2 linked regions of the Mus musculus genome follow. The protein of the gene in region 1 interacts with the protein of each later gene in a biochemical or structural test. Links are inferred from orthologs where the notes say so. Each region holds a gene or a part of one and is shown on either strand. Other genes may lie near its edges.

Region 1 (15,127 bases):
TGCCAACTAAGCCATAGCCACAGCCCTCAAAGAGTTTTCTATGGCATGCTGAGAACTGTTAACTTGAGAACTATTGCCACCGTGTGTCCAAAACTAGTACTGCTAGTCCTAAAACTGCCTGGTGTTACCTCATTAGCAGGAGCAGCAACTGTCTTGATCCTGCTCTGGTAATGTGAAGACCATACTTGTGCTATAGGCTGATAATCCTGGGGGCTGATTTGCTATCCATTTTATATCCAAGGAAACTGAGGATGAAGGGAATTAAGCTTCCTAGACTTTTAGTAACTTATTCAATTTCTTTCTCCTTTCTATTTTTCCCCCCTTTTTGGATTTTCAAGACAGAGTTTCTCTGTGTAGTCCTGGCTGTCCTAGAGTTCACTCTGTAGGCTAGGCTAGCCCTGAACTCACAGAGATCCACCTGCTTCTGCCTCCCAAATTCTAGAATTAAAGGCATGTACCACTACCCCAAGTGAGAGTTCTTTTCAAATAGGGTCTCATATAGCCCAGGGTGGCCTTCAACTTGTTATATAGCAGAATGTGACCTTTAACAACCATGAGACAGGGTCTCACTATGTAGCCCTGACTGACCTTGAACCTGACATGTAGACCAAGCATCTGCCATGCCTAGAGCCTTTTGTTTTGTCCTTCCGCCTCTACATGGTTTCTCAGGATCAAACTGAGTTCATTGGGCTTGCTTCCTTGGGCAGGGCAGATGGCAAATGAGCCACTTCATTGATCCAACCCTGAACTTTTCCTATATCTACCTCTCAGCCGTGAGATTATAGACATACACTACGAAGCCCCGTGGATACCCTGGTAGGGATCAGACCCAGAGGTGCTGGGTATTCTAGGTGAAAATTCAGCCAACAGAGCCACACCCCCAGCCTCAAAACTGAATTTTGGGTAGCAATTATAGGCCATCAGAATGAAGTCATGAAAAAAGAAAAGTTCTGTCCCAAGAATGAGATAATATTAGGAAACGGCAGAGCCACAGGGTCAGTTCTAGAAGCCAGAAAGTTGGGCTTGGTCTTTATTTCTCAATCCACCCGAGGCCAAAGCCCTGAAAGGAAGTCCTGCTGCCCCTTGCTTTGGACAGTGAATGATCATTACCTGGATCCAGAAATGGTGTTCCCGTGGACAATGGAGAGGTGGGCTGCATCCTGCTGCTGGTCCAGGCATCTACCACAAGGCTTAGGGTGGAGGCGGTACTATACCAAAGGAAACCAAGGACAAGGGTGATGGTCACAGTTGCCATGTAAAAAGGGTGTGTCTAATGAAGGATGTTTCTTCTCTACAGAGGGTAAAGATGAAGCCTGGGTACCCAAAAGATCAACACAGTCTTTACAGGCATTGTGAGGTATTGATTAAGCTCTAGACCCTCTGGCTTTACAATCCTGTAATCACTGAGACAGACACACAGCCATGTTCCTCCCCAACCTCCCCAAAGGCCTCAAGGTCTGATGCCCCTGCATGTCTAGCCCTTACTTTCCTGGACACTGCCTGAGCATACAAAGGGCCATTCTGCCCTTCCCATGGGGTGGGGGGACTAGGAGTCACCTTGCAGGCTCCTTGCTGTTTTCTGAGGTGCTGATGTCAGGGAGTGTCCCTGGAGATGGAAGCTCCAAGGTCATATTCTTCTCTGCATTACCTATAGGTATGATGACATATTAGAATCAGTGCAGAGAGTTTGAATATCCAGTCTGCAGTGGGGAACAGTGGGAGGCAGTTGGGAGGTAGTGGAAAGTAGTGAGTGGGAGTCTTCCATAACACACAATTCCTGGCTACAAGTGACAAAGGCCATGAGGGTTGTGCTTTAAAGCATCAAACTGGAGAGGCTATGGTACCATGGGTTCTGCTATGCACGCTCCAGTGAAGTCTGCTTGGCAGGCTGAGAGGCCTGGAAGCACTCACGAGGCAAAGAGTTTCACGGAAACTCACCTCCTGGAACTCTGGCAACGGTTACTCTCATAACCCGTATACTGATACCCTATCCCCGTGTTAGTCTGGTGTATGGATCCACGTGCTCTCTTTTAGTATTATTTTATTATAAGTGCCTTTTAAGATTGAATTCTGACATAGCTAAGCCTTCGCCAGTGTTCCAACGTCCCAGAAAATTCTTGAAGATGACAAACTTGGAATTCAGTAGGAATTCAGTAAGAATGTTGCCTATTCAGTGACATTCAGAATTGCCTCTAGTATTGTAAGAGAGATAGTGAAAGAAATCAGGCTTTACTATCTACTACATAGAGTTAGAAATCTCAGGGCAAGCTTAGCAATGTAAGTTTAGAATTCTTATTATAGTTATATATGGCAGACTACATTACTTATTAGTAGAAAGTCCCCTCACACTATCACTTAGGATAAAATCCAAGTCGCTCCCATATACAGGAATTTACAATGGTTTAGGAAGTAGATCAGGCTGTTGTTTTAGAGTATTGCATTATTCATGAGAAGGTTAGCTAGAGCGGAACTCCCTAATTAGAACCATAACTTGGGTGTGAAAGCCCTTGCCCTAGGAGTGTAAAGACCTCACACCTGGCTTCTAAGACTATGACCTTAGATAGAGTTGACTTTAGATAGAGCTGACTTTGTCTCAGTTGTTTTATTGCCCAGTTCCTGCCAGTCCTTTTGTTTACATTCCTCTGTTTTGTGTAAGAGTCATTAAGCATCCGGTAACCTCATTTGTACCTTGCCGATGTGTCACCTAACTTCCCTATTTTCTTCTGTATAAATAGTTTGATGCTCAATTTGAAAAATTACATTCAGATTCTACACAACCTCTTGCGTTGCGTCTGTCTGTCATTCTCTGACTCCTTGCCCATCTGCAACTAGAAACCCATTCTACACAGACAAGGGACCCAAGAGGGTCTGCGGCAGGGTTCCAAAAGCAGCTTCTGCTTTTTATTTAGAAGAAGCTTAAAGGGCAGCAAGATGGCTCAGCAGGAAAGACCTTAGGTGACTAAGGTGATGACCTTAGTTGGATCCTGGGACCCACATTGTGGAAGAAGAGAACCAACTAATCAATACCCACAGGTCGTCGTCTGACCCCATGGTACATGTGTCATGTATGCGCGCAAGCATGCCTGCACACAAGTATGTACACATATCAAAGAGAGAAAAGGAACTCTGGTAAATATCCCAGCCACCCATCATGCTACTGTATCCCAGCCACCCATCATGCTACTGTATCCCAGCCACCCATCATGCCACTGTATCCCAGCCACCCATCATGCTACTGTATCCCAGCCACCCATCATGCTACTGTATCCCAGCTATCTATCATGCTACTGTATCCCAGCCACCCATCATGCCACTGTATCCCAGCCACCCATCATGCTACTGTATCCCAGCCACCCATCATGCTACTGTATCCCAGCTATCTATCATGCTACTGTATCCCAGCCACCCATCATGCCACTGTATCCCAGCCACCCATCATGCTACTGTATCCCAGCCACCCATCATGCTACTGTATCCCAGCTATCTATCATGCTACTGTATCCCAGCCACCCATCATGCCACTGTATCCCAGCCACCCATCATGCTACTGTATCCCAGCCACCCATCATGCTACTGTATCCCAGCTATCTATCATGTTACTGTATCCCAGCCACCCATCATGCCACTGTATCCCAGCCATCCATCATGCTACTGTATCCCAGCCACCCATCATGCCACTGTATCCCAGCCATCCATCATGCCACTGTATCCCAGCCACCCATCATGCTACTGTATCCCAGCCATCCATCATGCCACTGTATCCCAGCTATCTATCATGCTACTGTATCCCAGCCACCCATCATGCCACTGTATCCCAGCCACCCATCATGCTACTGTATCCCAGACATCCATCATGCTACTGAGAGGCAGTGGAGCTTCAGAACCTGGAGCCCAGAGGAAGGGAGAAAGGTCATCAGGAGTACGTCCGTGAAAAAGTCCCTACCTCTCCTTTGCCTCTTTGTGCATCCTGGCCACCATGAGGTGAGCAACGCCTGTGGAGATGAGCTGCCTCAGAACCAAGCAGCTATAGACAAAAATCTCCCCAACTGAGAACTAAAAAGGACCCTTCCCCTTGTAATGCTAATTAGAGACGGTGTTCCTATCACAGAGAGGGAAAGCACACTAAGAGGGATTATATTTAAAATATCAACTGACTTTCTGCATTGGCCATATGAAGTTACAAGCTGTTATTTGTGTGTGCTTGTTTGGTTGGTTGGTTGGTTGGGTGGGTGGGTGGGTGGTTGAAAGGGATAGTTCTGGGTGTCCTGGGTGTCACTATGTAGCTCTGGGTGTCCTGAAACTCTCAGTAGACCAGGCTTGCCTCAAACTCACAGAGATCCACCTGCCCTTACCTCCTGAGCGCTGGGATTAAAAGCGTGCATCATCAGACCTACTAAAGTTACAGCTTTCATTTGGTTTGTGTTTTTAAATGTTTAACCTTTAAAAACCAAAAAAACCAACCAACCAACCAACCAAACAAACAAACAAAAAAACAGCCAGGCATGGTGGGAAGAAAAAAAAATTGCCCCACAGGATTGCTTGGCCACAGGCCAATCAGCTAGGGGCATTTTTAAAATTGAGGTTCCCTCTTTTCAAATGACTATAGTTTGTATCAAGTAGACACAAAAACTAACTAAGATACCTGAGCTATATAATGAATTCTGAGTCAGCTAGTGCTATAGAGTGCTATGTAGCAAGACTGACTCTCTACACAAAACAAAACAAAAAGCAAAAAAACCCCATGAAAACAAACAAGAAAGCCAAAGACAAACAAAATAAAAATAACACCACCACCACCAAAGGCAGAATAGGAATGAACATGTCCCTCAAAGGCCTTGGTGGAAAGCGTGAGGAGCATAGCGGGAAGGAAGGGCTTGAGGCCAGAATCACAAGCCACCACCATTAACCAAACAAAAGCAGGAAGCATACAAGTGTTATGTTCCAGTTCAGACTGGCAGATGGTTCCATCTGCACAACTCTGAGAACCCAAGTTCAATGCCAGCAGCCAGATACAAAGGCAAGCATGGTGGAGCACACTTGTAGCCCCAGTGCTATCGAGAAGACAAGTGAAACCTTGGGACTCATTGGCCAGCCAACGTAGCTTGATTGCTGAGTCCTGGGCCAATGAAAGGCCCTGTCTCAAAAAACAAGGTGGATGGCTTCTACAGACTCCCAAGGTTGACCTTTGACCTCAATGAGGATCAGTACACACACACACACACACACACAGAGAGAGAGAGAGAGAGAGAGAGAGAGAGAGAGAGAGAGAGAGAGAGAGAGAGAGATTGATTTATTATTCACTGGTATTTCTAAGCCCCAAGTTGTAAACACCCAAAACCTTGAACAGTGAATCTGTATAGTGCAGGCTGTTCACTTTCTCTGAGTGGTGAAACAGTAGCTGGGTCCTCAGCTATGAGAGCCATGAGAACGGTTAGGGGCCATGGGAGCCATGGCCTGAACCCACCTGCTCTGTCATAAGCACCCTGAGTACAGGGCAGGAACACACAGCACCTGCCCCTGGCATGCAAGGGCACTCAGAAATTTTAGGAAAGAAAGAGCCCTTTCAGGACCTTTGGCACTTGAGCCTCAGCCTCAGGAGCTGCATCCTGGAGATGCTCTTCTGTTCCTACTTGGCAAGCTGCAGCTCAGAGTCCTCTGCATACCCAGGTCCCCTTATCAGACAGCACCTCCTTGGGAGACTGCCACAGCTTCAATTAAACAGTACCTGGATCTGGACTGGGCTCCCTTGCCTTGGACGAGGAAGATTCTGGAACCTTCACCAACTCAGTAGCATCTTCCTGCACAAGGTTGGTGACACGCATTGGCAGCAAGCTCCTTGCACTGTCATTGGCTGGGGATTCTAGAGTAGGCATGGCCTGAGGAGTGGCATGGCTGTAGAAGAAGCCAGACAAAGATCTGATGACTTCACAAACCAGGAGGTCTGGGTTTGGGGATTAGTGTCTATGGAGAAAGGCTCCTGTCTCAGCCCCTATGTGCCCTGCTATGAGCTGAGCGCAAAAGCCAAGTTTCTTAGACCTGGGTCTCTTATGGGCACCAGGCAGAGCTAGACACACACAGCAGGGACTCATATAACTGGTGAGCTTGTCAGAGAGCCACCCTAGGGTCCTGCCAGCCTGGGCTGATCCTGCCTGTGCACCCTGTGTGTCATGGGACAGAGTAGCCCCATCCAAGATCACCTGGAGAGGAACAGAAAGGAGGACAGGAGTCACCTAGTAAGTGTCTTGCGGTCACCCGGATTGGAGCAATTGGGACCAGATCCCGAGGAAGGCAGCTCACAGATAGTGTCCTTCTTTGCTGTGCCTATAAAAGAGACAGCAATGTCTTCAGAACAGGCACTGAGAAACTCAGAGTCCCCAGGAGCAGAAGTGTCAACACCACATGTAGAATCATGGACAAGGTACTAGGAGGACACAATGGCTACCCCGAGACAGAGATTCTGGCTTTCCCAGTATCTGTTCACTCTGGAGTGAGGAGGATCTATCCCTTCACTTGGCTTGGTCAGTGACGCTCACAGATGTTCACACTCAGCTACAGAAACACAGACAGACAGACAGACACACAGACACACAGACAGAGACAGACAGACACATAATTATATTTGTGCCCCCCAGAGATACATATATAGAGATACATATATACAGAGACACAGAGAGAGACATACACAGTAACACACACAGAGATGCATACACATAGACACACACACAGAAACACACAGACACACCCACAGAGAGAGACACACACAGACACACAAGACAGGCACAAATAGACACAGATACACACACACACACAAAGAGACACACACAGATACATATAGAGATACACGCAAAGACATACTCAAATACATACACAGACACACACACAAGAGACATATACACACAGAAAGACACACAGGCACACATAGACACAGATACACACACACATAAACATACACAGAGACACATACACATAGAGACACATAGAGAGATACACACAGACACAAGCACAAACATACACAAATAAATACACACTGACACACACACAGACACAGACACACACAGACAGAGACACACACACAGACACACACACAGACACAAGCACAAACATACACAAATAAATACACACTGACACACACAGGCACACACACACAGACACACACAGACACACACACAGACACACACAGACACACACAACACATACACACACAGACACAAGCACAAACATACACAAATAAATACACACTGACACACACAGGTGCACACACACACACACACACAGACACACATACACATATACACACACACACACACACAGACACAAACAGACACACACACACACACACACACACACACAGACACACACCCACCATCAGATACTCCTGGGTTTGCCCTCCATCTCTACCACATTCTTACTAAGCCAGGCAGTCAAGAGATCATAACAGTCTTCATTAGGCTGCTGTTTATATAAACAACCACATGAAAACAAGTCTGTCATACTAGGTAATAAACAGTAAGCGCTCAACCTTACTGCCTGTACTGTACTTTCTCACACCCCAACGCCAATCTCATCTCCGAGGGAGGGAGTGACCCACATGAGTTGGAAGATGCCCCAACTACTTCAGTGGAGGTGAACACAGCAAGGTCAGCAGTGCGATGAAGTTGACGCAGCTCAGCTGAGCACCCAATCCTGGCTCTACGTTCTTGGGCTGCTCATCTGCCATCTCTGGGTGTCAAACTCCCTACCCACAGAAAGGAGCTGATGGAATCTGCTCTGCACACACGCGATGCTTGCGAAGAAAGTCCATAATAGCCTTGAGTGTTTGGCTATCTGTGAGCTATGCTGAAACAGAAGTTACTCTCCCCTTTCACAACCGGAAATCCTACATCTCCCAGAGCTGCCTTCTGGGAGAGTCCACAGGGGCTCCAGAGATGAACAAGGTCAGGTGACTGTGGCAGGGCCACTGACAGAATGTGCTGTGTCACTATGCCAGTACCGCACACCTTTAAGCCCAGGACTTGAGAAGTGAACAGTTCTGTGAGTTTCAGGTCAGCCTGGTCTACTTAGTGAGTTCCAGGTCAGCCAACAGCTACATAATGAGACCCTGTCTCAATAAAAGGAGGGATGTGGTCTTAGTAGTTAAGATCACTGGATACTTTTTCAGAGGATGGGATTCAATCCCCAGCTCACAACCTTCTATAATTCCAATTCTAAGAAATCCGATAACCTCTTCTTGCCTCTGTGGGCACTAGGCATGCATGTGGTACACAGACATACGTGCAGGTAAAACACCCATATACATAAAATAAATAAATCGAAAAATAAAAATGAATCTGGGTGTAGTGGCACATGCCTGTAATCCCAGCAGTCAGGAGTCTGAGGAAGCAAGATCAGAAGTTCAAATCCAACCTGGGCAACAGAATGACTCTGTCTCAAAAGATAAATAAAGAAATAAATAATTTTAATGATGTCTTTGTGCTAGGAGTATTGCTTATTGGTATAGTCCTTGTATGACATGAATGGCCTTGAGTTCAGTCCCCAACACACACACACACTCGTGTGTCCATGCATGCATACACACATGCACACACAGCTCACACATTTAATACCCACACTTGGGAGGATGAGACAGGGGGATTACTGTGGTTTTGAAGCCAGTCTTGCCGCATAGTGACTTACAAGACATCCTGGGCTACAAAATGAGAGCGGGTCTCAGAAAGAAATAATCTAACAACATAATGATCTATGTCAGTTGGTAACCAATATAAATATAAAAAGATACATTGTATTCTCGCTTACATGGTAGGTCTTTGAAACTTACTGAGCATTATAGACAGAACATCTTAACTTAGACCTGCCACATTTTAAGCATTTTTTTTTTTTTACACATGGCAATGGCAGGACTTCAGAGACAGGCCTCTGTTGCCCCCATGTGGCAGTCTTGGGAACTCTGCCCAGACAGCCTAGCCATGCTAGCTGGAAGGTTGAGAATCTGTCTGACAGACAAACACGGAGGCCTTTAAGTAACATCTCCTCATCATATGAGCAAGGAGAAAGAGTTAGAGGAACTGGCCCCATCCACAGGTAAAAATCTTCAATATAGCCCAGCCCTCAGCTACGTTTCTGATTGCAGACAGGGTCCCACAGTACAGAGAGCATTCTGTGATTCAGGAACTTGGAAAATGCCCATGAAGCTAGGAGCCAGAAAAGCCAAGGACACCGGTTAGAGAAAAGGGTTTGCAATTTTCACCCCTCACCATCGGTTTGCCCCACCAGGAGTTTATGTGATTGTACTGTCCTTTTTGCACCCCCACCTCCATGTCTCCCTTCTAGAAAGCACACCACCACCTCCTTTTTTGAGAACAGAGTCTCACTATGGAATCAGCCTAGCCTCCAAAACACCACTTCTAATGGCAACCAGTGAAGTTCCATGATTCTTATCTCTTCCTCTGACCATGAACTCCTCCTCCCTTGTATTGTCAAAAAATTAGAAACGGGAGATGGTAAGGCCTGATGTCACGAGGCAAACTGGGGGAAAAAAACAAAGCAAAGTAATTTCTCTGCCTTTAATCTGTTGCCTAATGTCTCAGTACTCCTCTCTCCAATAAAATGTCCTATTCTGACGCAGGGAAGGTAGCTCTAATTTGTCAGATAACTCCCAGGGTAGAGACTTGAGGCTTCCTACTTACTTGTGGACCACCGGAGAATCATCCCTGACCCCAAGCTTCAAATGTGCCCACAGCCTCCTTTAACCAGGCGTGGGCCTCTGCCAGTAGAGTACCTCTGACAGGACGCAGATGTGAGCAGTGAGCAGCAGAAACCCCGAACGGATGCTGCACACATCACAGCATGGGGAGAGAAGCTTCGACCTGTTTATCCTACAGTGGTGGGAAGGTTAGGAGGCCTGTGGCGGGCACAACAGTAGCTACTAAGGAGCTGTGGGAGCTGTGGGAGCTGTGGGAGCTGTGGGAGCTGTGGGACACTCACCTGGAGACTTGACAACCTCCTCTCCAGAACAGTGGAGTTTGCAGCGGGCGCAGGAATTGACTGCTGGTGTGCAGCAGTGCATGCCAGGCTGACACTCACAGATTCGAGGAGAGTTCCCGGAACACGGAGCCTTCTCCACAAGGCCTGAGGGACACAGAGAGGGTCATGGAAGGGAAAGAGGGGAGCCAAGGGTGGGGGTCCAGTGTACACAGGGACAATCCAGGATGAAGGTAAGATGCCACATGACCCTCTGTCAGACCAGTTGGCTGTCACTCTGTGCCTCTCCTCAGTTCTCCTGATGTGCATGAAAGGGGCAGCGTGAGGGTAACCTTCACTTCCAGCCCATATGTCTGCTACTACTACATAGATTACAAACAAATAAATGTGGGGCTAGGGAGACGGCTTAGTGGGTAAAAGCAGTTGTTCTTAGAGCAGAAAGTCCTGAGTTTATATCTCTAGGGCCCATGTAAAAAACTGAACTGAGAGGACCCTATATGACTGCTACAGAAATGGGAAGACTCCTAGGGCTGGCTAGCCAGCCAATGTAGCTGAATCAGTGAGCTCCAGGTTCTGAGAGAGTCTCCGTCTCAAATAGGAAGTTGGAGAATGACTGAGGAAGACTCCTGACATCAGCCGACACTGACACACACAAACACAGACACACAGACACACACACTCCATGCATATATATGATGTCCCAGGATATGGAAAGAACTGAAGTACACGTAACTGTGTGACAGGCCATTCTGAAAAGGCATTACACTGTGATTTTCATGGACCTCCAGCAAGACTGATGTTTTAACTGTACAGGCAGGAGAGCCATCAGTGGTTGCCACGGTGAGGAGGATGGAAAGATAAACTATAGAAGCATGAGGAGTTTTAGGAAGTGCACTGTATGTTCTGGGCACAGATACACCGTCTATGGTCAAATCCCATATGATGGGCATCCCAGCTGAATCACGATGAGGCAGGAACTCAGCAATACATAGCCACACTAGCTCATCTTCTGTATTGGAGTCTGACTACTAAATGGTCTCCTCTGAGGGAGATGGCTGTGGGATAAACCACTTTCTGTGAAAGCATAGGACTTGAGCTTCATCTCCAGAACCCATGCTTAAAAAGATGGGGGTGGGGTTTGGAGAGATGGCTCAGTAGCTAAGAGTATTGCTTGCCTTGCATGATCAAAGTCCTGAGTACTATCCTCAGCATTGCATAAACTAGGCATTGCAGTGCACACCTGTGATCCCAGTACCCAGGACATGGAGACAGAAGGACGCATGCGCGCACACACACACACTCACAATTAGGAAGAAAATACAATCTTTAGAAAAATCTTTGCATGCAATAAACAAAATACACATTATAAAAAAGGCACTGAAAGCTTTGATAAAATATGATTATTAGGTTTTGAGAACAATCTCAACATGTCTTTCAACCTAACCATCCACACAAAACCAAAAGAAAATGCCAGACACTATCACTAAGCACAAGCAATTAATATTAGAAGAACCTATTTCAAGAACTCTCCTGGAAGCATCACCTTCTTTGTTAGAAAGAATGCAGCTCTTGATGCCAGGGCACTGCTCGGACTGCTCCAGGAAGGCCCTTCACATTATGAATCCTCAGATTCTTCACTATAGAAATGGGTTGAGAAAAGGGTCCTTCATGGGGGCATTGTGATGATGCCCGTTCTCCCTCCAGGGAGCACACTGCATCTTTCTGAAAAGTATGGATGCAAAAGATGGCTGCTGATATCAATCTTCAAATCCAGATAGGTAAATAGAAGCACCAGGAGATCAGATCTTGATACTTCCTGCCTCTCAGATTCTGCGCATCCCCCACCCCTGGAGAGACACGTTCCAGGGAGAGAGAATAGGTTCTCACCTGGCAAACAGGTCACGCAGGCTGTGCACTTCCCGTCTTCATTGACGTAGTAGTCAGGTGCACACTGCTTCCTGCAGTGGGCAGGACCCCGTGGGCATGGCTGTGTCGGAGACAACCCTGGGGAAAGCAGCAGGGAAGTTCTAGGCTAGGTTGTCTTGGTAACAGGCTGGCCTTCCACCCTCCATTTCTCATACCTAAATCCCATTCATCTCTGCTTTAAGCGGTTGCATCAGATAATGCTTGTGTTACAGACGGAGGCATGGACCTCGATGGAGGTCACTGGGAACAAATAGGCAGCCCAAGAATGGGGAAGATCTGGCATTCCTGGCCTGCCAACTGACAATCCGTGACCATGGACAATTGCAGCGACCTCACTCATAGTGACAATATGATCTGTTTCTCCTAGAGTGGACAAGGGTGAAGCGTCGGTGAAGTTCAGCAAGTATAGTCTGAGTGCTGGCTGTCACTCTCAGCAGAGGTCCTGATTCTCTGAGGGAACTGGGGGGACTATGGGGAGTTAAGGCCATGAAGATACTGATTCAAGCTGACTGAGAGGCCCTGGAACCACCCAGCAATCTTCCTCCCAAACTTAGAGGACAGGAGATGCAGGATGATGACGGAGGCAAAGGGTACATGATATCTGCCAGGTTCTATCTGTTCTGCCAGAGCCTGTCATGTTTGTTCAGTCACGTATGTTTCCCACTGCTTCACCACAGGTTAAGCACATGACCGAGGTGGGCTAATCAGAACATTTCATTTTTCTCCATCATCGCCTCAGAATAGGCATGTGACTCCAACAGACCAATCAGAACGTGTTATCTTTCTCACCATTGTGATTGGCTCAACATGGGCACATGACCATCAGACCACCAACCGATAAGCCCCATCCCTTGAGCGTTTTTCAAGATGGATGGTCTGGCTTTTTCTACTGAATTTCTGGTTAAAATTGATGAAATCTGGCTTGGTGGCATATTCCTTTCGTCACGACTGGGGAGTTAAATTTCAGTATCTAAATTTATCTACCTGAAATACTCCCACACTCTTCAGGATGGCTATCTCTGTTTACAGCAATCATTGAGTCTCCTGTTGCAGGGCCTGGATCATATTTGGTGAACCTATGTTCTTCTGACTCATGAATAGAAGCTGGAGAGACACCAGGGCCTTCACCATCCCAACCCTGAACAAGGCCTGGGGTCCAGAACACCAAGGAAGGCTGAAGGAGCTCAGGGTTGAGCTCAGGTGATTGTGGACCGTGTTCAAGTTCCTTCTCTGGCTTCCTATGAGGTTTATGTGCTACTGTGGGGAAAGAGCCAGGCCTCCTTTGTAGTGGCCTGAATCATAAGTGCTGTTGGTCATTTTATGAGGCAGGCAGTGAGTTGTCACCACAGGTATGTCAGCAGAGAACTGGGAAGTGACTGTCAGCAGGTGGCAAGGCACCCCTCCTAGGTGAGGACAGACAGGAGAAGACCTCTCAGCCTCTCAAATTCAAAGGTTTTCCAGCTTCCTCTACCAGCCCACCCACGTGCAAACCCTGCCACATAGTTGAGCGCTGATTTGAGAGGGCGGGCAAAATGTCAGAAATTTCCCCAAAACACGGAAGAAGGGGTTTTTCTGGTTTTCCTCTGTGGCTTGTCCGGAAGCACAGGGTCAATAAAACTCCAGCAAAACGCCCCGCCCACCACAAAGACCTGAGGTGCTCAGCCACTTTCAGCACTGAGCCTTAGAGGAAGTGAGAGGAGGGACCAGCCCCTGTCTGTAAGTCCCAGCTGTTAAGTGGAGAAAGCCTAAGACCTGGGGGTCATGCTCACAAGTGTCTTTCTCTCTCTGACTGGAACTGTGGCTTCAGAACGTCATGGCACTGTGGCCACACCTCTCTGTGGACAGAAGGGCAAAAACCGACCAGAACAGAAATGCAGGAAGCCAGTCCCTTGCAGCAAAGGAAGGCTCGTAGAGGTAGTGTCTCAGAGCTGCAATAGGATGGAGATAGCAGAAAGGGACACGCAGGGGTAAAGGAAACAGACAGCACCAAAGGACCAGAGGCCTGAAAAAAAAAAAAAAAAAAAAAAAAAAAAAAAAAAAAAAAACGGGAGGAGCTGGAAGAAATGACCTCTTCCAAGAGTGATCTTGCCATTGGATTGAAGGGTGGGTGGGTGGGTGGGTGGAGGGAATAGATGAGGAGCAGGACTAGATGAGAGGATGGGGAGGTGGGAGGAGACCACTGTGGACTAGAATTGCTCACACGCCCCACTCCCCACCCCCAATTATAATGAAACCCTTAACTTTAATTTGGAGAGACAGAGGTTTGGGAGCTCACTAAGGATAAAGGAGCCCACCAGAAGCCCTAAACCCATGGGATGAGTGGGTCTCTATGAAAAAGGAGTACACACCATGGAAAGGTGGTACGGTCAGACTGTAAGCCAGGAAGAGCTCTGGACAGAAACCTAATCAGGACAGAACCTTGTCCTTGGGTCCTCCAGTTTCTAACTAGGGGAAAGCAATGGTCTGCAGGACCCCAAAGAGGAATAGGGAAGAGAATGAGCTGGATTGGGAGGCAAGTAGGGGGCAGGAAGGAACCCAAAAGAAGCTGGGTATGGTAGCACAGGCCTGTAATTAATCCCAGCACTGGGAGAGGGCAAGAAGCAAGAGGATCAGGAGTTCAAGGCCAGCATCCGCTGCCACAAAGTTCAAAGGCAGCTTAGGCTACATGGGATTCTGTCAAGCTGTCATCAAAGGATCATCACAGGAACATTTAATTTTGTTCTTGTTGTTTGGCTGTTTTGTTTTGTTTTGTTTTGGGAGACAGGGTTTCTCTGTGTAGCCCTGGCTGTCCTGGAACTCACTCTGTAGATCAGGCTGGCTTCAAGCTCACAGAAATCCACTTGGCTCTGGCTGGGATTAAAGGCTTGCTCCACCACCACCCAGCTCAAATAGTTTTCTTTATGTATATGTGTGTTTATGAGTGTATGTCGTGTGTGTGTGTGTGTGTGTGTGTGTGTGTGTGTGTGTGTGTGTGTGTGTGTGTGTATGTGTGTCCTCAGAGGTGTCAGATCCCCTGGAGCTGAAGTTCACAGGCAGTTGTGAACTGCCTAATGAGGTTGTTGGGAACTGAACCTGGGTTCTTTGGAAGAATAGGAAGTGCTCTTAACCACTGAGCCATCTCTCAAGGTCCACAGAAATATTTTTAAATCATTTTTGGGAATAGACGTTATTAAGTTCTTTCTCAGATACATCATCTGGTAACCCGTGCAAGACTGCTCCATCA
Region 2 (15,227 bases), about 81 Mb from region 1:
CATTTATGAGACAAGATGACGACTGTTAGAATTTGTCAGATTGTTTAGACCGGAGGCGCTATGCTGAGTGCTGTCTGTAAACTGTTTTAATAAACCTTGCCTGGGGAATTTGAGATCTTGGCTGGGCAAAATGAGAACTATCTTGCTCAAGGGCTTGGCTTTGAGTAAGGTAGGACACAGGCTTGACCTAGATGCAAACAAATGGCTTCCCCAAGGCTGTCATCTCATCTCCATAGTAGCTCTGGAAAAACAATCACCATGGTTACCAAACCCTGCTTCATTTCCTTAAGTATACTTTCTCTTTTCTTTCAGCTTCTATGCCATCTGATGGACATTCCAACAGTACTAGAGTTCTTTCTGTGTAATGGAAAGAATGACCATGCACAGTCTGTTTCCCTCCAGGTGAAATGACCCCCCCCCCCAACCCTCCAAGAAGCCAATCAGTAGCCTAGAACTGTATTTTTCTCTCCCTTAGTTACTGTGAGTAGAGCTTTGGCCAGTGATTCTTACTCTGGGCTATTGCAGACATAACAAGATATGGCATGTAAATGACTAGCTATTGTTTGAAAATAGTAGCTGTTTAAGAGGAACTGCTCTGGCCCTTATAATGTGTTCAGTTTGTTTTAATTCGCTGAAAGATCTGTTTGCTTTTAGAGCAATGAAATGGAGGGCATGGAACAAATGTGTGTAAGTTCCTGTATTTGCTTTTCAAACTAAGTCCTCTATTACTAACACTTACCAAGACAACTAAAGTGTGGAATATTCTATGGAGAATTTCACATCTGTTTCTTTTCTGATTTTCATTGTCTTAGAAGGTAGGTCACAGCACATGGAGATCTCTACTATCTCTAAGGTAAGACAACTAAACACTTAATCCAGGTTACTCTGGGAACCAAATCCTTTCTGGGCCTTATTGTATTGGTCATTAAGTGGACTTCAAGAATTAAGAGTTGTCTAAACACAGAGAAATGACTTAATCATTACAAAAGATCCCAGAGATAAGAAAGTTGGCCATACTGTTTATGAAGATCAATAACTCCATAGCATTGACTCTCTCGATTAAGGCAGACAAAACAGCAGTATGTTCCCCCAAGACCAAATGGGAGAGTGAATGGCAGTCATAGGAGACCCCCCTAGGGAAAGTATTTTTATTAGGAACTCCTGGTTTGGCAGGTCTGGGATTTGGAACAGTGGAATAACCAGTGTTTCTCCAACTTGCAACATGTCATGAAAAAAGCTATTCTGATTCAGGAATTCAGGATAGGCTCTGAGGTATTCTGACTGTAGTTAGTCTCCTGGCCATGCTATCATGTCTGATCCACTAGCTACTTTTAGAGTAGGACTGGCTTCAAGATGTATTGTAATAGGCAAGTAGGTCTTATAGTCTTGGAAAGTTGCTGCAGGAAGTTGTGAGATTAAGAACTCTTCCTGCTCTAAAGATGGAGTTGGTACTTTGTTCTCTGGGCCTCCTCTATCAATGAATGTGGTCACCTAGTCTCACTTCCTGGTATGTCTTGGCCTGCTCTGTAGTCTGACCATTGTTCATACCCTAGTAACTCTCACAATCCAATTTGTCTTTCTCTGGGCCATGCCTTTACTCATTGTCTAGCTTGATGGGTCCTACCTCTGCCATTATCATAATGGAGAGCTCATCTTTATAGAAGAATATAGTTAGTGAGTCAAAAGGATGACAGCATCTATTAACCCTCCATCATAATCCTCAGGGTAATAAAGGATTCAGAGATAAGGATCATCAAGAAATGCCAGTCTGCTGAGTGGAAGACATTCATGTCTTGAGAGTGTTACACCACAGATTACATATTCATGACAAGAAAAATTGTTGCTAGTTGTCCCCTTAATGAGGTATCTAAACATATAACTATAAATAACCAGACATTTGTCCCTAGCTGCTATAATAATATCAAGCATAGATAACCCCAGGTAGACCTAGAATGTAGATTGTTCTACTAAAGAATTATAACATAGTCAATACCACAAAACCAACAATCAAGGGCAGGTGTAACAGTTCCCGCATGGCTTCTCAAATTTTATTATTCTGGGAAGATTATTAAAATGTTGGTTTGACTCGTAGCTCTGGGGGGAAGCTGGGAAGTTTTAATCTCTCTCTCTCTCTCTCTCTCTCTCTCTCTCTCTCTCTCTCTCTCTCTCTCTCTCTGTGTGTGTGTGTGTGTGTGTGTATCATGTATGTGGGTATGTGTGTCTAAGCATGTTCATGGCTCTGAGTGAATATATATACACATATGTATATATATGTATATATACACACATATGTATATATATGTACGTATATATGCACATGTGGTGGTCAAAGGGCAACCTCAGATATCAGTTCTTAGCTTCTGTCACGTCTGTCCTTCTGTGTTCACTACCTACCAGCTAGATAAGGAAGCTCTGTGACTTTCCTGTCCCTAAATCCTATTTTGTCTAGGAACAATGGGTTTATCGCTATGCACCTGAATTCTGAACATGCAGATTTAGGTCTTCATGCATGGTAGAAGCAGCTCAACCACTAAGCCATCTCTCAAACTCTAATCTTTTTCTAACAACCTAGCAGGACTATCCATGTATTGGTTTGCTTTCTTATTTTATTTAATTTTATTTTCTTGTGGTATTGGAGAATGAACTCAAGCCTTGTCTATGCTAGGCAAGCACCCCAGTACTGAACTACATCCCTAGCCCTTTAAACCTTTTTATTTTGAAACAGGGTCTCACTAAGTTTGCCCAGGCAGGTTTTGAATTTGTAATCTTCTTGCCTTACCTTTGAGAATAGCTAGGATCACAGATATGAGACACAAAACCAGATAGGTCTACTCATTAAATTGAAAAAAAAAAATGTTTTCGACTAACACATATGCAGATATCACACAGCAGGTGGTATATGAGCCTAGATCTCCCAAGTAACGATAAAAAACCCAGCCATAGAAGATATGGGGAGATGGAACATGGACTGTATGTGTTGTATGTTACTAGGCAACATTGTTGAGTTACCGTGAACTCTTGCAAAATATGGGTGAGTGAAGCCACCCTGCCCATACCTTACTTTCATATATGTACAGAGGCAGCATGAATGTGATAGATTCTTGACAGATTTAGTGGATAGTTATATGGGTTTTAGCATATCGTTTTTGAAAAAAAAAATTAAAGGACAGTTTCTAAATTTTCTCAGATTCAGCTTACATTCTAGTTACTCCCCCAAACGCTCACCACCCTCAGCAGAGGTGGCCCGTTCTCCTATCTGGAGTATTCTGCCTGAAGCTTGGTTTCATAGGCTTTAGTTTCTCACGTTGGGAGAGTTCCCAGAGTGGGTCCCACACATGGACGTGAGCCTTTCCTTCAAAACACTGCAGAGTGCTTGCTCCTTAGGAAAGAAATCTCAGGTTTTTTTGTTTTTTGAAACAATTAAATAAAATTAAATATTTAAACAAATTATTAAAAATAATGAACTCCAGATGCGGGGAGTCCCTTAAGAAAAGGAAAGCGACTCAGGGCATTTCACCTCACTTTGATTGCCTGAGTTTAAGAAACAGGGCTCCTCCCAAATCGCCTCAGCCCTACCCTATCCTTACCAGCATTCTCCCTACAAAAGAACGAGAAAGGTAGGCTTAGCTGCTTTCTCTTTCTAGAATTGGTGTCCGATATTTGAAAATCAAACAACCTGAGAACTTGCTATACCTCTCTGGACTGTGTTTGTGTTCATTCCTAAGCCTGGGTAGGCTCAGCCTCCTGGCTTAGGAAGCGAAGACATGACTACGGTTGATGGCCCAGAGGCTTCCTTATAATGCCAACAGCTCTCTGTGAGCAAAGGGCCTAGGAAACCAGTGTCATCATGGATTCTTCTTTCCTGGGGGTGGTAAGAGAAGCTCTATTGTGTTTCTTCCTTTTGCTTTCATCACTACTCTGCAGTCTTTCCTAAGCTATGGAAAAGTGTGTATGCGCTTGAGCTACTCAACTTTTCTTTCTTCTCATAGTGCTGGGAAAAGCTGTTCCCTTGATGGTAGACTTTCCCTACCTCAAGATGTTACCATCAATGCTGATAGACAACATTCATTTGAGTGAAAAGATGCACAGTCTATTCCCATTTCTAGGTCTTTGTTTACACATACCTGTTTGTAAATATGCACAAAGGGCAAAACGTCCTAGACAGAAATGTCCTACAAGGCACAGGTAAATCACGAGGCGTCGGCACAAGAGAATCAGATAGGATGCTACAGTGGCACAAAGCAGACTTCTACATATAGAAATGGATGGATCTCTATGATAAAGCACCAAGTGAATGAGGTGGACTTAATAATGAGATCTGTGCACTATGTATTTGTAGACACTCAGCTTTCTCAAAGAACACACAGGAATCTGTTTACAGTGGCTTCCTCAGCAAAGACAGGCTACCTCTGGGAGGACAAGGCATGAAGGGCTTCTAGTTTATTTACCCTTATTTATTGGTTAGTTTTGCTGAACAACGTAAATGTATTTCATAATAAATATTGTTGGTTTAAATGTAAACAAAATTGTAGCTATCTCAGAAGCCTTCAAAGACATCACTAGAAAGCTATATAAACAATTCAAGGGCAGGGAGTGGATTTGCCTCAAGGTTTTGGTTAGGTTTACGTACCCAGTGTCTATAACAGTGCCCAGTACAAATAGATACTCAGTAAATACTGAGTTGATGCCTCAGTTTCCCCTTTGTCTCCACTATAGCGATTTCTTCCTCTAGCAAAATCTCAAGGATCCCAGCTCACTTTCCTGACATGGCTAACTCTCCCTTCTCCATCTCTTTTCTCATCTCTGCAGTGGTGCAGGTGGGGCCTCTATTCTCATCTCTTCCATTCCTTGAAAGTTATTCATATTTCTCACTCTGACCAGATACTGTAGTTTCCAGTGATGTTTTCTTGCAGTCTGCTGGGGAACTACTGCTTCACAGGTGGTCTCGAGGTGGTCCTACATAGGGCAGTAAGGTAAACCTCACAGTTCCCCACACAGTCCCTGTGGTACAAGGAGGACACCATGTGTTCATTGCCCATTCCATATTTAATACTAGAATGCGAGTCTGAGCTCTTTGGATCTTTTCATTGGGTTCTTTGACAGATTCCTACTGAGTCTCTCCAGTTGCTAAGTTCACCTGTTTGTAACAGTCCCCATCTGCCTTCCTATGGGATGTACTCTTAATAACCCAGGCCCAGGGGACTCATTTTTCCCCAGTTCTTGCCACAGTTAATGCCTGATAATGTACTAGAAACGATATGCGAAAAGCGTTAGATTCTTAATAGCATAGCCATTAAAATGGAAAGCCCTAGCTTGTGAGCAAGTATCTGACACGTAAAAAAAAATCACAGCATACTAGAGCTTACACACAGACTGTGCACCGTTCTATACCCAGGCACGGAGGTAAGTCAGATCAACAGACACAAGAGGAAAAATCTCTGAGAGAAGAATGAGAATGTTTCTGCCACCATCAGGGCAAGCAAAGGGAACAGCATTCTCACAGAGCAACCAAGAGCCACTAAGCAGCCCCTACTGTACCACTTGCTCAGGGTGCTTGACTGTAAGCCCTGTCCCCTGTCTGTGCTTCATTTTGTGCCTCTGCAGAAACAGGGCAGAAGCCTGTGCAGATTTCACAGGAGGAATCATTTCAACAGTGGATGGGAGCTGCTTCTGCACAGTGCCACCATCAGCCTTCCCCACCTTGGCTTCTTCCCCACACCCAGCAGTTCTGCCTGTGTCCTCTGAATGACAAATGTCTTCAGGCTACTCTAATCTCTCTTGCCTGGCCATTACTGCAAAACAATATACATCTGGTGTATGGAAAATCAGAGTGACAGAAAGTAGAGAATGTGGAGAGAAGAGAAAGTGCCCAGAGGTTTGTCTGCGAGTCCTTCTTGGCCTGATGCAAACGATCCATGAACTGATGTGTCCCATCAGCTCTGCAGGCCAAGTGTGAATAACTCCCTTCTTACACTGCCAAGGAGGAAGGAGCTTTAAAGCTTTATTTCAATATCCATACTTGCTGATACTTGTAAGGCCCTAGCTTTCAGCAACTAGTATGCTGCAGAGTCTGTGGTCCAAGGCAACTTGGAAGAATTATAAATTAGGTGAGTTCACACTTGGGCAGGGTGTTGCACCAGTGGTATTCATACAGTATCCAAATCACCATGCCTGGATCTCACCCCAAGCCTGTGAGTCATGTGAGCTGACCACGCAGTCCTTTCCAGACAGTGTGTAAGAGTTCTCTCTCAAGGATACTTTTCTAAGCTACGGTTTGACTTTCTCCCCCTACCCCCATTTCAAACAAACGAAATTTCCCAAGATGGTGTGGCCCTGCACATTATGTGTGCATCTCAGAGGGTACAGGTGACAAAAACACTGCTACTTTTCAACACCCTGAACTCTTCAAAGCCAGTGGCTTGTGAGGAAGCTTTCGATTTCTTTTGTGGGTTTTAACATTGAAATAGCAGAGCTCTGGGAAGACTTGGCCTCTCTCTCTCTCTCTCTCTCTCTCTCTCTCTCTCTCTCTCTCTCTCTCCCTCTCCCTCTCTCTCTCCCTCTCTCTCTCTCTCTCTCTCTCTCTCTCTCTCTCTCAAATATCACAGTCTTTAAAAAGTAGCTCCTCACTAAAAACAAGCAAGCAAGCAAGAAAACAACCACAACAAACAAACAAACAATAGCAACAACAGACTCTCGGCAAAAGAGAGGCCTCAGAAGTCCTGGGAGCACGGATTGAGGACATAACCTTAGAATTAGGATGAGCGCCTTACAGAGGTGATACCCACATGCGCACTCGCCATCAGGGCTCCCTATGCTTCCTCCCTCCATACTGTGAGGCTGTGACCCATCTGGGCTTCAATCTTAACTTCTCAAGGTCAGCAGCTCTTCTGTTGGCTCCAGTACATCTGGAAATTTTTGAGCTCATGTCCAGTTCTATTTCTTTTAAAAAATTCCCACTGAGTGCAGAAAGTTCATTTCTAGTTTTTCCCCTTTTCTCTGATATAATCTCTCTCTATATATGCATAGTTTTACTTATTTTCACTTTTTAAATTTTTTTTTTTTTTTTTTTTTTTTTTTGCTCCTAGTTAAACTATTCATTAGCTTCCCAGAGCTGTTCCTCTAGAGGACACACATTATAAATGAGGAAAGAAAAGCAGAAAAAAGATGTTTACTCACCTTTTTCTGGACTACCAGTACCAGAATGATCGCCACTGCCACAACAAGGCACACCAGTGCGGTGGTGCTGAGGTAGAAGTAGCTGCGACTTGTGCTTCTCCAGGGCCTCGTGCTTCTCCAGGGGCTGGCTACCGAGCCGGGCTGCACCTGCATGGCTGGGTCAGGGGAAGGAGCCCCACAGCTGCCTGCTTGTTGCAGCCCTGGCTCCATGCTTTATATAGTCTGTCCCACATCACACCTTATCTCTCCTCATCTGATTCGGTTCTGTACCCAGCTCTGTTCCAAGAAGGATTTTCCCCTGCATCCTGGATCATGTGACTTGGAAAAAAGCCTTCACCAGTTGCCGGATGGAGAAACTCTTCTCTGGGGGCGTGAGGCGAAGGGTGGCTGCAAGGGTGGGGGAGAGGTTCATTTTTCATCGCCTGGGATTAATCTGAGTGCAGAGAAATTGTAGCGAGATAGACGATGGTTGATGTCAGCGGGTGGTAGGAAGGAGACAGTTCCGCGTGAGTGTACACCAACCACTTCTGTTTCCTTTAGGCTCAGCCACAGAACGCCTTGCCGCGGGGACCCTGCACACTGCATGATCCATGCTGGTGGCCCAGGAAGCTTCCAGATTAGTCTCTTTGCTGGGTCCCTGGAGATGGCAGTCCTTTGTCAGCAGCACAATGACTGTTGGGGTTGTCCAACAATTACAGCATGCTCTAAACTGGAAACATACCCATTTCTGGGAAAGAAGAGCCCACTGTTTGGGCATTTACCTACCTGGAGACAAGGTTGTGGCAGTAGGATATTTGAGGATAGTTTCAAAGACATGGTGAGAGAAGAGGAATTTGGAAATAATTTGCTGTTGAACCAAAGCTCCTCTATCTCTTGCAGGGTGCTCTCCAGGGCTGTTAAATTTGCCGATGAAACTGGCTTGCCCTAAAGTTCATACTAGGGGAAGAAATTAGTGAGGGGGTCAGGAAGGGGAGGCTCAGTGCTGTGGAACGAGTGTGTGAAGTGTCTGTGGGTTGTATGGGGGTGCAAATAGTGTTCCAGGTGTTTGTGATGAGTTTGTGGACAGAGGTTACTAGAATTGAACATTCTGGCTCAGGTACAGTCTTGGGAACTTGGCTTAGAGGCTGACTTCACACTCGTCACCAGCCTCAGAGGCAAGTAGTATTTCTTCTTCACAGCATAGAGAACTGAGACCCAGCATAAAAGCATTCTTAATCAAATCTACCAGTGTTAATCTAATGGTAAAACTTGGTGGTATATGCAAACCAGCCTGGCTCCAAAAGCCTGCCGGACCCTTTCCTTACAGGCTGAAAACCTCAGGTTGCATCTTAGCCTTTCCTCTTCTCAGCATTGCTCCTTGAATAAGTCAACGCAGCCCCTGCTTTCACCCCAGTCTGCTTTGCAGTCATGGGGAAGATCAAACAGGATGATGTAAGAGGGCTTCCTGAATGGGAATGGACTTGGCAGCTGTTGTTGAACAATTCCTGTTAAACAGCCCAAGTTGCCCTCTGGGCCATGTCTGGAATTTCATATAATAAATAGATTTCTGGGACACAGAGCTGGATCGTATCTGTTGCTATGAATGACCTTTCTTTCAGAATATTCTCTAAAAGCTTCAGAGCTGCCTCCAGATGTGGCCTTCTGAAACCTCACTTGCTATTTCCCTTGAGGTAGACAGCACCTTCTCTTTTGACTATACACTACCTCTGCAGGTCACAGGACATGTCAGAAGCCCCAAAGAAATGCCGGATCCAAAGCCCAGCTCAGATTATTTAGCTTTCTGGATCTGTGTAGATCTCTCTTTGAGCATTCTGCAAGGCAGCTTAGACTTAGGAGATGGTCTAGAGGCCCTTTTTGGTGAGTTTATAAAATGAAAAACCACAGAGGAGGGATAGGTAGTGAGGAATGAACTGGTGAGTATCTTCTTCGAGGGCAGTGTCTCCATCTGGTTGTCAAGGAAACTGAGCCTGGGGTTTGGAAGACAGATTTGTCCTTAGCCACTTGTCCTGCTGGTTTAGATAGGGCAAGGCAAGTTAGTGTTTTGGGGGGGTACACTTGTTTGATTTGGGGAGAAAGCCTTGTCCTTTGGTAGGTACGGACAGGGAGTGGGTGGCAATCTGCCCAGAGCTGCTGAGAACCGGCTGCTCCCTTGGCCCTCTCTGTTTAGCCCCTTTGATCGAAGTGGAAAACTTCTGATTGCTGAATGGAAGCTGTGGGTGTTGAAAAATAAAAAGGCTTCGTTTAAAGTTCAGGTCTTCCTGAAGGCCCATGGGGCTGAGGAGGCAGTGGAAAAAAATGTTTGTCTTATACTTACAGTTTTGCATATTGTACATTGTCCTAGGAGGGAGGGCTGACAAGGGGGAAAATCACCCTTTGTTCTTAGAACCTTCTGAACAGTTGAGATTTTCAGATCAGTCACTAACAGTTTGTGGGCCCAACTTCACTTCTTTTGTGGTTGCATCCTCTGCTAGTGAAATTTCAGAGGCACCCTATTCCCTACTCCTGTTGTCTTCACCTCCTCTATGCTTTTCATGTGTTGCAAGATCTGGTCCAGGCAACCTAGCAGTCAACTCCCTGTGATAACAGGCTCTTTTCAATTTCTACCTAAGCCACACAAGGTGCATGTGGCAGGATCCTACAGGTTCCTTGCTGAGTTATTTTCAAATCCTTCTTGGAGGTAAAACTGCACAGGAAATGTTAAAAAAAAAAAAAAAAAAAGCAGAACTTGGCCGGAGCAGAGGAAGGTCAGGTAGAAAGGCTGAGCCTAGCTGATTGCTCACTTTATAAGACCCAGAGTCAGTACATGATACATGAAATATGGAGTCTTGTGATTATTTAGCTCAAATTATTTATTTCACAAGGAAGGAGATGGAGACACTGAGATGACATGACCTGAAGGGTTTGAGAACTCACTCAGTGATCAAGCCTGAGGACCGAAGTGTGCTATTCAAAACCCACATATAAATGCTGGGTGCAGTGGCATGCTCTTATAATCCCAGTGTTATGGAGACAAAGACAGGTAGATTTGCTGACCAGTTAACCTAGCTTAATCAGCGAGTTTCAGGATTACTGAGAGACTCCATCTCAAAAAGCAAGGGCAGTGGATCTTGAGGGATGACACTGGAAGTCAATGGGTGCGTGCTTGTACGCGAGTGCACACACACACACACACACACACACACACACACACCCCTTTCTTGAGATCGAAATGAAATGATTTGGTTCACAAGGGAAGGGAAAGAAACAGGCTTCTTCTTCCCTCTGTCTGTTCTCCAGATGTCTTTGCAGAAAATATGCTGAACCCATTCAGGCTTCCTTGAATGTTTCTCTTACCTTGCTATGCCTCTGTCTGTCTTTCAAATCTTTCTGAACAGGGGCCATCTGGCTCCATCTCCTTAGTAAAACCTGCCTCTATATAGCAACCCACTAACACACTCTCTAGATTCCAGGCCACGTCACCTAGTGATGTAATTACCTGCCTGAATCTACTTATTGACAAGTGTGTGAGCACATGTCAATTTTGCCTACCTTGTGAGATGCTAGAGTCCCAGAGCCACTCCATTTGTTCTTGCTCTCTTCATCTTTGCATCCTATCTGCATGATTTAGATCTAGGCCCATAAATGACCAACCCTCAGTCATTGATCATCTTGACTTTGTGGCTACGGAGCAAGAGAGTTCTAGAGGGCTGGGTACACAAAAGAATTGTGTGGTGGATTTCTGCCTCCTTTACTTTTCCTATATTTCTATCTTCCTTACTTACCTGACTAGCAGAACTATATTTCCTATATTTACCTGACTATATTTCCACTCTAGCATGTCCTAGTGAGATTGTCCATTGGTGTCCTTTAAAGTAACATTAGTTGCTAAGATGTGGTTCCTGTACCTGACAGTGTATTAAACCAAGCTAATCTCTCATCCTTTGATGAGTAAAATCTATTTTGAAATAGAGACAACACAGCTGTAGTTTTCCTACCTTTCATTACTTCCTAATAGTATGGGCTTTGGGAATTTATCATACAAAGTAGGAGCTTTTAGGGGATGGTCTCTGACTCAGCACCATCAGCATTAACATCACTAGAAGACTTAACTTAAAAACCTTAAAGGGCTACTGAAGCAGATACTCAGGTTGACATCAGGAAACCCATGTTTGGAAAAGTACTTCAGACTATCCTGGGAGCATTTGACAAACAGTGGTAGAATGACTAAGAAAGAGCATCCAAGATATCCTTGGATGAGAATACTACTGTTGTACTATGTGGATGTGAAAAGTGAAGAGGAATCACGCAGTCTCTAGCATCGCAGTCTCTAGCATCGTGTTGTTGGGAAGTGCTGGTTTGAGCACTATTTTTCTGGTGCTTTGGTTGAGCCATCTATTTAAGCTCAGTTACAACTGTGGAATCTAAAGTTACTATTGGTTATGAGGATGCAGATATCTCTAGAATAAAATGAAGAAGATTTAGTATCTATAGTTCTCTTGAATTAAGACTGTGTAATAAAAAGTTGTTTTTTTTTTTTTATGGATCTTATAGAGTAGACTGAATTTTTTTTTCCATTTTTTATTAGGTATTTAGCTCATTTACATTTCCAATGCTATACCAAAAGTCCCCCATACCCATCCACCCCCACTCCCCTACCCACCCACTCCCCCTTTTTGGCCCTGGCATTCCCCTGTACTGGGGCATACAAAGTTTACGTGTCCAATGGGCCTCTCTTTCCAGTGATGGCCGATTAGGCCATCTATTGTTACATATGCAGCTAGAGTCAAGAGCTCCGGGGTACTGGTTAGTTCATAATGTTGTTCCACCTATAGGGTTGCAGTTCCCTTTAGCTCCTTGGGTACTTTCTCTTGCTCCTCCATTGGGAGCCCTGTGATCCATCCATTAGCTGACTGTGAGCATCCACTTCTGGGTTTGCTAGGCCCTGGCATAGTCTCACAAGAGATAGCTACATCTGGGTCCTTTCAATAAAATCTTGCTAGGGTATGCAATGGTGTCAGCGTTTGGATGCTGATTATGGGGTGGATCCCTGGATATGGCAGTCTCTACATGGTCCATCCTTTCATCTCAGCTCCAAACTTTGTCTCTGTAACTCCTTCCATGGGTGTTTTGTTCCCAATTCTAAGGAGGGGCATAGTGTCCACACTTCAAGACTGTGTAATAAAAAGTTGTTTTTTAATGTGGTATATTTGAGAGGGAACAAACTCACATAGGGTATGTTTTAAGTAACAAAGCACAGAGCTAAACTACCTTTTGAGGAGGGACTGTTTGTCCCCTTAACCCAAGAGCCTTCAATGTTGTCCAATGAACTTGGACATTAGACTTCAGTCACAATGCGACATTTATTCAGAGGACACAGTAAAAGAGTGATAGATTTGAAGCAAGATCACTGAAATATGGCCCATGGTCAAATCTGGCAATCTCCTGTTTTAGTCAATAATATTTTATTGAAATAATCATGAACATTTGCTTATCCACTTTCTGTGGATGTTTCTATAATGGTAGAGATGAGTAGCTTCAATAAGGACATTATAGTTTATACAATCTAAAATTTTTTTACTGCATATAGAGTCTTAAACTCTTTTATTATAGAGTTTATCATCCTTTTAGACTTTTCTGATACATGATTTAGAATACTAAAATGAAATCAAGGCAAAATAATCAAGAAGACTTGGGGGAATAACAGAGAAAGGTTGAAGCTTCCTTTATAAAATCCTTGTGAATGCTTTTCTTGCTAATCTATGCTTTCATCTAAAAAGATTTTCTTTGAGCTATGTGGTAGGTATATTATGAAGGCTGACTGTTGTAAAGAATGTAGCATCTGAGAAAAAGGTTGGGTAGAGAAAAATTTGAAGATAAATACAAAGATGCTCTCAGTAATTCATACATTTTTATTTTTAAATTGCATGTGGGAGTTTTAAGACAATTTAAAATAAATTTACAGGTAATCATGGAAACTATTAACATAAAGCCAGAGATCTGAATGGAAAGAGTAAGGTTAATGTATTGAGAAATGTATTTGAGTATGACAGATATATCTACAGGTGTCCCGGTCATCATGGCAAAGAAGGAAGCATATTAGATCTCATCACTCTTTTTGCTCATGAGAGCAGAGGAACTCAAAAATAGAAATGCACAATTTGATTGCTGTAAAGACACTTTGAAATATATAACATTTTGAAATGACTGAGGATTGTTGAAAGCATGCCATTCTGGAGAATTAGGATATCAGCCAACCTTAACAAGTGGAAATACTGAAATGTTAAAAAAAACAAATATAGTTTCAGCCTGTGCTGACAGGGCATGCCTGCAATCTTAGCACCTGGAAGACAATGTCAGGTGGACCCTGAGTTTGGGGCAAGTCTAGAGTATTTAGTGAGAACTTGCATCAATAGAGATATACTGCTCTTGTCTCTCCTAAGCTCTTGTCTCTCTTACTCTCACCTCTCTTCTTCCTTCTTCCTTTCCCTTCCCCCCTCTCTCCACATGGTCATGGCTGCCCTTTGCTTCTCTCTCTCTCTCTCTCTCTCTCTCTCCTTTTCTATAATAAAGCGCTAAAACCATAAAAAAGAAAGAAATATACTTTAATTTTCAGTGACACAGAATTAACGATAAAAGTGGGAAAGCCAAGTATAGAAGGAAGAGACTAAATATGTATTCATGCCCCAACCTCTTCCAGGGTAGGGTTGGAAAACTCAAATGGTTGAAACTGTCCTTCAGAAAGCTGTTGACACTGCACTCATGTGCTGAGCTGAGGAAAGGGTCTCCCATGATGATAAGTCATGGTACATGGAGAGGAATCATCACTGAGCATGGAGAGTCTATGTGCAGGACACTATCAAGGTAACAACGAGCGAGGCAAGCATCATCTCATCATCAAGGTAACAATGCGAGAGGCAAACATTATCCTTTATTGCATTGCATTTATGGACAGGCTGGTATAAAGCTCATTTAAAGAAGTGGCTGTCACAAGATGGTACTCCTAACTGTTGATTCAGAATGCTGTGTGCACACATGGGGAACTCATGCGGACGCACCATCCTTTGTGGGAAAAGTTGTTATCCCTTTTGGCTTCTGTACTAGTTCAATAAGAAGGAATCCATTACCAACTCTTAGTAAGCCTCTCAACTCCCTTCCCCTTCTGGATTGAAATCTGTCAGCGTCTGATGTTGCTTGCAGTATCCTGGCTGTATCATCTGAAAGGTTTCTCTTACCTCCCTTTAAGTCTCACTTTCAGCCTCTGATGCTACTGAATTCTTCCCTTACTACAGATGCATTGTTTTATTCTAACCATACCTAATAACCTCTTCTGACTCATTTTTTTGTAAGACCAGTATCCTTCTTGCAAAATTAGAGGCTCTTTTTTGCATCTCTTGCAGTTCACATTTTTTAACCTAATTTTTTTAAAGCTTTCATTCAAATGCATGGCTTCTTTAAAAAATTAATGTGTTAATTTTATTACTTGTGTGTATAAGTGTTTTACCTGAACCCATGTCTTTGCACTACATACATAACTGGTACCTGAGGAGGTTAGAAGATGCATCAGATTGACTCAGACTGGAATTGCAGATGGTCATAAACCAACAAGTGACTGCTGGAAATTGAAACCAGGACCTCTGCAAGAGCATCAAGTGCTTTTAAACACTAGAAAATCTTTCCAACCCTGTGGCCTTTTCCTTTGATTGTTAAACACACACCACACACACAGACACACTCATGCTCATGTGCATGCACACACACACACACACACACACACACACACACACACACACACACACTTCCTAAATACAGAGATATAATCTGCTCAGTCCATATAATGTTATTTGTGTGTACATATTTTAAGTTGCTGCTCCGATATTCTCCACCTTTACTTCCAATTAACAATACACCTCCCTCCTTAGGTTTGTAGCCTGATTCTTCCTCTGGTTACCAATGATCACTTTATGTATTTGGCAACTTGTCAGCATTTTGTGAACTCCAATTTTGGGTCATTCACTCATGAATATCTGTGTTCACTGTTTTGCTAATTTTACAACAACTCCCTTAGTGTCTTT

The links.
Region 2: the proteins of Tnfrsf8 (region 1) and Tnfsf8 form a complex in vitro, tested with the Homo sapiens proteins (2 studies listed by BioGRID and IntAct). The link is inferred for Mus musculus from reciprocal best matches to the Homo sapiens genes TNFRSF8 and TNFSF8.

The regions. Positions count from the first base shown.
Region 1 is NC_000070.6:145,286,869-145,301,995, forward strand, and holds part of Tnfrsf8 (tumor necrosis factor receptor superfamily member 8 precursor), read right to left. Parts: intron 11,983-15,127; coding exon 11,866-11,982; intron 10,126-11,865; coding exon 9,982-10,125; intron 6,322-9,981; coding exon 6,231-6,321; intron 5,893-6,230; coding exon 5,726-5,892; intron 1,649-5,725; coding exon 1,558-1,648; intron 1,209-1,557; coding exon 1,111-1,208; intron 1-1,110. UniProt on the Homo sapiens protein: Receptor for TNFSF8/CD30L. May play a role in the regulation of cellular growth and transformation of activated lymphoblasts. Regulates gene expression through activation of NF-kappa-B.
Region 2 is NC_000070.6:63,853,674-63,868,900, forward strand, and holds the start of Tnfsf8 (tumor necrosis factor ligand superfamily member 8), read right to left. Parts: upstream 7,612-15,227; 5' UTR 7,387-7,611; coding exon 7,177-7,386; intron 1-7,176.